Linked DNA regions of Caenorhabditis elegans. The protein of the gene in region 1 purifies or fractionates together with the protein of each later gene. This does not show direct contact. Each region holds a gene or a part of one and is shown on either strand. Other genes may lie near its edges.

The links.
Region 2: the proteins of puf-8 (region 1) and ccf-1 purify together in Caenorhabditis elegans (affinity purification with western blotting, with the first as the bait; 2 studies listed by BioGRID). This does not show direct contact.

The regions. Positions count from the first base shown.
Region 1 is NC_003280.10:7,295,572-7,300,259, reverse strand, and holds puf-8 (PUM-HD domain-containing protein), read left to right. Parts: upstream 1-2,012; 5' UTR 2,013-2,030; coding exon 2,031-2,153; intron 2,154-2,286; coding exon 2,287-2,572; intron 2,573-2,618; coding exon 2,619-2,712; intron 2,713-2,758; coding exon 2,759-3,625; intron 3,626-3,669; coding exon 3,670-3,833; intron 3,834-3,882; coding exon 3,883-3,956; 3' UTR 3,957-4,145; downstream 4,146-4,688. Other genes in the region: C30G12.1 (uncharacterized protein), read right to left, coding at 1-61, 268-376, 424-524, 573-689; C30G12.6 (uncharacterized protein), read left to right, coding at 4,245-4,527, 4,575-4,688.
Region 2 is NC_003281.10:11,918,328-11,922,333, forward strand, and holds ccf-1 (CCR4-NOT transcription complex subunit 7), read right to left. Parts: upstream 1,911-4,006; 5' UTR 1,894-1,910; coding exon 1,765-1,893; intron 1,718-1,764; coding exon 1,433-1,717; intron 1,381-1,432; coding exon 862-1,380; 3' UTR 501-861; downstream 1-500. Other genes in the region: znf-593 (Zinc finger protein 593 homolog), read right to left, coding at 261-386; trap-4 (Translocon-associated protein subunit delta), read left to right, coding at 2,414-2,459, 2,594-2,922, 2,975-3,079; Y56A3A.22 (DUF1279 domain-containing protein), read left to right, coding at 3,370-3,834. UniProt on the Caenorhabditis elegans protein: Catalytic component of the CCR4-NOT complex which is one of the major cellular mRNA deadenylases and is linked to various cellular processes including bulk mRNA degradation, miRNA-mediated repression, translational repression during translational initiation and general transcription regulation.

The DNA.
Region 1 (4,688 bases):
TCTGTTTCTCAAAGTTTGTTAATGGTCGGATAAGATGATCTCCAACGTAGACGTGATTATTCTAGAAAAAAACCGTATTTGTTAATTGTAGTAATTAAAAAGTGAAGTGACTATTTCATAGATTCTGACAAAAGAATACGGTAATTGGTCTCGAAGCGTCTTTGACCTATCAATTTCCGATCGTGTCGACCCCTGATACCGTAATATTGAAGATTTACATTAAAACCAGATGGTTCTAACTATACACAATTGGAAAAAAAAACTTACTCGAACAATACAAGAATCCAACACCACTTCAATAGAATCATCATACCCTCCACAGAATTTTGGAATTGTAGGAAACGAGGCTTCGAAAGAATCAAATGAAGATGATGAACTGTAAAACGCTTAATTTTCAAAACAATCGAGAATAGAATGACAAACTCTTTGAATGCACTTAGATCATGCTGATACGAACTAAATATGTGTAGTTCGTGATCATTCAACTTTCGCTTGGAAACACCATGAAGGAATAGGGTACTGTCCTGAAAGATTTGGAAGATATTTTCAAATTGTTTTCTACGAATGCTTACAAATACAGCACATGCTGGTCCAACATAACCATATCCAGGTTGATATTCAGGTGGTGTATTTAGAATTAGGGCATTACCAATTAAAGGTAATATAAAATAATGAAGACTTTTAACCATGGCAACCAAAGGGTACACCTAGTCAAAGACTCTATTTGGTCGTGATGAGTTCAAGTTACGAAGCAAGAACAAAGATGGGACTGTGAGGAGACAAGGGGCGTCGCTTCTCGGCACACAAACTATGGTGTTGTTCCCACGGCCGGAAGCTGCTTTACACGAACCTTATGCAATCGGACGCTCTATGTTCGTACACACACACAATACGCTCGTACGATCGGCCAGCCTGCAACCTTTTTCGATGTGAGGCTTTGTTTTCCAAAATTAAATATACACAAACAGACAAAATCTAATTCTCGTTAAAGGTCAGAAAGGGGTTGGAATGGAGATGACAATGAAATAGAGGTGGGAGGAAATTTGATACGATGGCCGGCGAACGGACGGTCGGGAAGAAAAAAAAAAACTAAATTTGTCGAGAATCTTCACGTTGTTTGCTTTTGCATGCTCTACACACTTTGAAGTTTTTGAAACGGTCATTCGACTCCCGAGAATAAAAAGATGAAGATGTATATCCATTTCATTGTAAAGAAAGAATCAAAACGGTCAAGCTATGTTAAGCACAAAGCACATGGAAAATAAATTTAGAATATTCAATACTATGCATAACAACACTCATTCATACACTTTCTGCCAGTTCTGAAGAGTTGAGAGTGAGGAAATATCGACTTTGGAGCAGGTATCTCTGAGAGCACAAGTATATTCAATTGATCTACTTAGCATTTGATCTCCAGAAAAACGGAGATTAATATAAATGCTATGTTTACATTTACTGTTACATCTACACAGGGTCTTCACTAGGTCAGCTTGGGATTCGTATAAAATTAGGTCCCTGAAGAATTAGGTCTCGCCGCGAACTCGAATCACATGGGTTTTCAGAAAATACAGTACCCGACACCATATTGAAACTACATAATCCAAGCCTACTATTTTTTCAAAAAGTCGAAAAAAATGTTTTTTCTACTCTCCTACATGCCACGCCTCCTTTCAGCATATTACCTTTTCGTATATTAAGTTTTTCACCAGTTCTCCTTTCCATGGACTCTCAAGTGCGTGCGGAACCTCAATAATTTAAAGGAACATGCATTTAATGGAGAAATGGGTTTCACCACGAACACCACGACTACGGTATTCGTTCGAAAATTATCCGAATAAATACGGAACTCCTGTTCTAAATAGTGATTTTTGATTGTTTTTCATTGTTTTCTCATTTTAATGTTCTAAATTCTCATGTGCAACTATTTTAATTAATAAAAATAAATAAAGTACGCGTTGCAATTGTTTTTTCAAGCTGAACTATGCCTCCTTGACCTAAAGTAATTATTTTAGGGGTAATCTGCGTTCCTGATGAGTCGTCCGATTTCAATTGGGAATACATGCACATTTGATCCTTCAGCTTCTCCGATTGAATCTCTTGGGAGGAGCATCGGTGCTCAGAAAATAGTGGATAGTGTATGCGGATCTCCGATTGTGAGTCTTGTTTATTGCAATATTGAAATTATTTTTTATTTTGAATAGAAATACAATGTTCATGCAATAAATCACACTGATAGATTTGCCGCAGTGTTTGTCAATTAAATTTTCAATAAAACAATGATTTCAGAGATCGTATGGCCGTCATATTTCTACCAATCCAAAAAATGAACGCCTTCCCGATACACCAGAGTTTCAATTTGCCACTTACATGCATCAAGGAGGAAAAGTAATTGGCCAGAATACATTGCACATGTTCGGAACTCCACCATCGTGTTATTGTGCTCAAGAAAATATTCCAATCAGCTCTAATGTCGGTCATGTCTTGAGTACTATCAATAACAACTACATGAATCATCAATACAATGGTTCTAATATGTTTTCGAATCAAATGACACAAATGCTACAAGCACAAGGTTAGTAAAAACATATTTCGAATATGGAAATTCTCCGTTTTTACAGCATATAATGATTTACAAATGCACCAAGCGCATTCTCAAAGTATTCGTGTACCGGTTCAACCGTCTGCCACAGGCATATTTTCAAATCCCTACAGGTTTTTTTCTAAACTCAAAAATAGTTTAAATATTTGTATATTTCAGGGAACCAACAACCACCGACGATCTTCTAACTAGATATCGTGCAAATCCAGCCATGATGAAGAATTTAAAATTATCAGACATTCGTGGAGCACTGTTGAAGTTTGCCAAAGATCAAGTTGGCTCGAGATTCATTCAACAGGAACTTGCTTCCAGTAAGGACAGATTCGAGAAGGACTCTATATTTGATGAAGTCGTTTCCAATGCTGATGAGCTCGTTGATGATATTTTCGGCAACTACGTAGTGCAGAAATTCTTCGAATATGGCGAAGAAAGGCATTGGGCTCGGCTCGTCGATGCAATAATTGATCGTGTACCAGAATACGCGTTTCAAATGTATGCCTGCCGTGTTCTTCAGAAAGCTTTGGAAAAAATCAATGAGCCACTTCAAATAAAAATTCTTTCTCAAATCCGACACGTCATCCATCGTTGTATGAAAGATCAAAATGGAAACCACGTGGTTCAGAAGGCCATAGAGAAAGTCAGTCCACAGTACGTCCAATTCATTGTCGATACGCTTCTAGAATCCAGCAACACAATTTACGAGATGTCTGTGGATCCCTACGGTTGTCGTGTTGTCCAACGTTGTCTCGAACACTGCAGTCCTTCGCAGACGAAGCCTGTTATCGGCCAAATTCATAAACGTTTCGACGAAATTGCAAATAATCAGTACGGAAACTATGTGGTTCAACACGTCATTGAACATGGAAGTGAAGAGGATAGAATGGTTATTGTTACTCGTGTCTCCAACAATCTATTCGAGTTTGCCACCCACAAGTACTCGTCGAACGTTATCGAAAAATGTTTGGAACAAGGCGCAGTTTATCACAAGTCCATGATCGTAGGAGCTGCGTGTCACCATCAGGAAGGGTATGTATATTCATGAAAAATGTAGATATAATTATTTCATTCAGATCTGTACCGATTGTTGTCCAAATGATGAAAGATCAGTACGCCAACTACGTTGTTCAGAAAATGTTCGATCAGGTTACATCAGAACAGCGCCGTGAACTCATCCTAACTGTTCGTCCACACATTCCCGTTTTGAGACAATTCCCTCATGGAAAGCACATTCTTGGTAAGATATTGCAAAGAATGATTTAATAATATTCAACCTTAATTTGCAGCAAAACTTGAAAAATATTTTCAAAAGCCGGCTGTCATGAGCTATCCATACCAAGATATGCAGGGATCTCACTAGCCCAATCAGTTTTGTACTATTCCCAACACTCAACTCCTCACAAATGTACCTTTAGTTATCTCAAATCCGGTTGTTATACCGGTTCTTTTTGTTATTCCCTGTGCATTTCTGTAGACAGCTTATCGTAATTTGTAATGTTACTCGTTTTGTAATTTTTTCCTAATCTTATTTTAGCATAAAAATTTGAAAAAAAAGTTGTTGAACATTTGTTTTAAAGATGTTTATATATCTCCCTTATATATCTTGAATTACTTGAAAACCGTTTTCGCACAAATCTAAATGTTTGAGATGGAGTCTGGTGATCATCTCGGAAATCTTTTCGATGATATGGTAGAAGAGGATAACGATGAAGATAGTTTTGAAGAACCTGCGTGTGAAGACAGTTTTGATTCTCAAGAAGCTTCATCGAAAGCTAACGAACCTCAAAACGACAGTTTCGATGAGCCTATTCAGAGCTCAGTAAGTAAACAAAGTGATGATGCAAACGGAGAAGATGAAATTAATGAAGAAGTCATACAAGAACAGAAGGAGCTGGATTTAAATGAAGAGGACTTCAATCTTTTGACGATTGGTTTGTTTGTGAGTATATATAAACGTTATAAGACAATCATGTTACAGAAGAAGTTCCGTTGGATGTTCTGACAGCTCGTATAAGAAGAGTGTTCACCGAAGTCACATATAGAGCAGAGCCTGCAGCGATAGCACTTTTTGACGTCGCACACAAAATAATTT
Region 2 (4,006 bases), on another chromosome or scaffold:
TCGAAAAAAGAGAATAAAATGAATAAAAACGAAACTTTGTTAGAGGGCGGAGACACACCGCAATGCCGCGGCACGCAGTTTTGCAACTTCACCGCACAGTTTTATTTTACGAGTTTTTAGCATTTTTTCCAGCAAAATTTGATTATTTGCCAGATTTCCTGATAAAATTAACGCGAAATTGTAGAAAAGCAGTTAAAATACAACCGTGCGGCAGTGTTGCGAATTCTAAGGGTTTATTTCGAGTAATAAATCTGAAAAACCTCTTGCTGGAGAAGCTTGGCGGCCTTTTCAGGCTTCAAATCCTCATGGATTTGATCCAAATCCTTTCCGGGACGTTTACGTGTCTTGTTCGAAATCGTGTGCTTCCTCTGTCCACCGCTCGGCATTTTTTGCTGAAATACTACTTTTGTTAAGCTTTGAATCTAGACAAAACAGCTGAAAAAGATAATTTCAGGCTCAAAAACCCTTATTTTAGTTGAAAATTTAAAGTTTCCGCGAGTAGATTTCGAAAATTTTTATTTTTTTGGGCATAGGGGAGGGAAAATGAAAATAAAAAGATACACGGGGCGCCCGATCTCGCCCAGCTTCTACTGCTGCTGAAAATTACAAATAAAAAAGATCGAACTTTCAGAGTAATGATCACCTATAAACAACTAAGCGTATAGTCATCAAGTATAGGGAGATATAATAACAAAGACAAATTATAGGGCGCGTGAAAACACAAAAAACTTGGGTGAGAGATGGGGAAGGGCACGAAACAGACAGCTAATTTACAATAACAGTGTAGACGGTTTTTGGTGGAAAAAGGAAGAAAAAAATAAAAGAAATAGACACATGAAAAATGACGGGAAAGAGATCTGTTCAGGCTTGTTGTGGAACTCCGATTAGGCCTTGTGGTGTCTCATCGCCTAGTCGAGAAGTTGATCCGGAGCTATGGAACAGCGAAAGCGAAGATCCAAGACCAAACATATGTCCACAGATCAATGGAGCAATCTGGTTCCAGTTGTCTCCGAAAAACTGCTTTTTGATCTTGAAAAACGTGGCGGCGGTCAGCAGTGCGTCGGATCCAGCTTGATGGCGAACTCCTTGTCGTTTCACGTCCAGCTGATCGGCGACCTCTTGAAGTCCTCCTTTCAGCTTTGCAGACGCGCAATTTGGAGTTCGGAGCAGGATTTTGATGTCGAAGCTGGTTGGGAAGAGAGTTTTGTGGCACATGAAGAACGTTGACTCTTCCTTAGGCAGATCTCCAAGTGTGATGCTTTTCAACAAATATCCAAAGTCGTAGCCGGAAGAGAACGTGAGCCATGTGATCCGTGGATCAGTGATGAGGCCTGACGTCGTCAAAAGTTCTCCGAATACTGCTGTCGGTATTCCATTGTTCTGGAAGAAAGAAATTATTATTAAAATATTGGAAAATCAATATTAAAAAAACCTGCAGCAATGTGAAGTCTATTCCGGCTTGCCGGAGCATTTCGACACTCTCATGCGAGAACATGTCTTCAGCGAAGGAGAAATTGAAATTGAACTGCCAAACATCGCCAGTCGGTGGTAGCTCTCCTTTGTCATTGACCATTGCAAAGCCCACTTGTATTAATTTCAGCATATTCACATTACAGAACACTTGCTGATAATTGAAATCTTCCTTGCTTCGAAATGTGCCCAACGGTGTCGCCACAACTCCGGGAAATTCTGTGTCCATTGCCACGTAGGGATAATCCTGAAAAAAAACCGATTTTTTAAAAATATTCAAACGATCGGCTGTACCTCGACGAATCCTCGAATCCTCGCGAATTCCTCCTCCACGTTTGACATATATACGTTGTGAATCTTGACTTCTGGTGCTCCACTTGCTCCACCTGCTCCACCTGCTCCACCACTGCTACTAGAAGCCATTTTTATGATATCTGGAACTAGAATTTTCGTTTTAGAGTGAACGCTTTTATTTTCGATTTTTTTAAACGAATTTATGGGACAGAAATCGAAAATAGCTTATAAAATAAATAAAATAATTTTTCCGCAAACTTTTAAAGCAGAAAAACGGGAGAAAAAGTCAGTTTGCAAAAGTTTTGAAGCGCAAAAGAAGTTCTTGAACGATCGATTTTGGATCGGCATTAAAGGCGCATGGAGTTTCCCAGCGGTGTGGGTCTCGCAGCGAACGGGAGAGAACTGCAAACTGGCTAGCTGCCAAGTGAGTTTGTTTTACGTGAAACTGTCGAGAAAACATCGTTTTAGTGAATTAAAATGTGTTTTTAATGAATTTTTCACTTATTTTCTTGATTTTTACCCTAAAAACATGAATTTTGTGCGTTAAAATGATGCAAATTCGAGTAAAATACGTATAGAATGCCTATTTTACTCATTTTACAAGATAATTCTTCAAAACACGAATTTAATTACTTTTTTGCAGGTAATAATGCTGAAGATCGCCGTCGCCCTTTGCCTTGTCGCTTCCGCTCTTTGTAAGTTGGAAAAATTAATAAATTCCCACACAAATTATTCAAATGTGTGGCTTGTATAAAAATAAGGCTCGATTTTTCGAATTTTAAGCGTAGATTGTTAACATTTAATACAAATAAAACAATAAATATTCCAGGCGCCAAGTGCGAGTCGCCAAAGTACTCGGCCTCGTCATTCTCCACTACCGACGGATTCTTCCACTACAAAACCACCTTCATCACCGAGTTCACACTTCAATGCAGCAACAACCCGAAGAATATCCAATACACTGCTGAAGTAAACGGTCGCCTTATCCCAGTCTCGATTTCCGACGAGACCGCCAAGTTCCAAGTCTCATGGACTCTTGAGCACAAGGACGCCGGAGCTCAAACCTTTAATATTAACATTTTCGACGAGGAGGGAGCCGCTCAATACGCCAAGAACCCTGTCACCAAGCCACTCTTCACCGTTCAACAAAGCCATGGGGTGAGAATTGCATCATTTTCACATAATTATCTTTAAAAATCATTTTTTGCAGGGTCTCGCCACGAAGTCTCCAATCTCTTCCGAGACTGTCGCCGTCATCATCGTCGTCATTGGCCTTTACTACGCCATTCGTCAAAAGACCGAACTTGTCCACTAAATATCATTGTTTTTATCCCCAAATTACTGGTCAACGCACGTTTGCGTGCTGGGTTTTTGTTCTTTTTGTTTTTATTTATATATACAAAATGTAATTTATTGATTTTTGCCCCTTTTTCCACCCCATTCGTGTATTTATAAGTTCAGTAGCCCCCAAATAGCCATAAATTGAAATTTAATTGCTAGACTGACGTAAAAAAAAGTTTAAAGAGTTGAGAGTGTAAATCCCCGGGAAACTTACTTTAGATAATTTTAAGACCCCCTTTAGGCCAAAATTTTCATTCAGGCAAAATGCTTTTGGCTCGATCCATAATCCGATGCTCGCGGAGCATCTGTTGTGCTCAATTCCAGACCCCATCAAGCTCACGATTCCTGCACACAAGTCGACAACTCCACGAGAAAGAGCCCACTCCGAAGAAGCCAGACGATCAAAAATGGAAAATGTTCAGAATGACAATGTCTGAGGAGCAAAAACTCGCAAAAACGGCGAAAATCGAGCAAATGAAGGCGGAAGAAGCGCCGAAAACGTTGTTCGCAAAAGTGAAATATTATTTTAAAAGATATTGGTATATCGCTGTGCCGGCTCACGCGGCATCGTGTACAGCATGGTTTATCGCATTGTATTTGGTGGTTAAAAGTGGAGTTGATGTGATTTCATTGCTCGAATGGCTTCATATGCCGGATGCTATCGTTGAAAAGGTCAAAAATACGCCCGAAACCGCCGGAGTTGTGGTGGTTTCGCTGATTTTGTACAAGGTTCGGAGGATTTTCAGATGTTTTTTCGAAAACTTTAATTAAATAACAATTTGTTTGGAAAAAACACAGATTTTCTCGGAAGAAACCCAATTTTTTTGTATAAAAAGCACGATTTTTTAGACAAAAACCATGTTTTGTAAAGAAATCAATTTTATTGAAAAAACTAATTTTT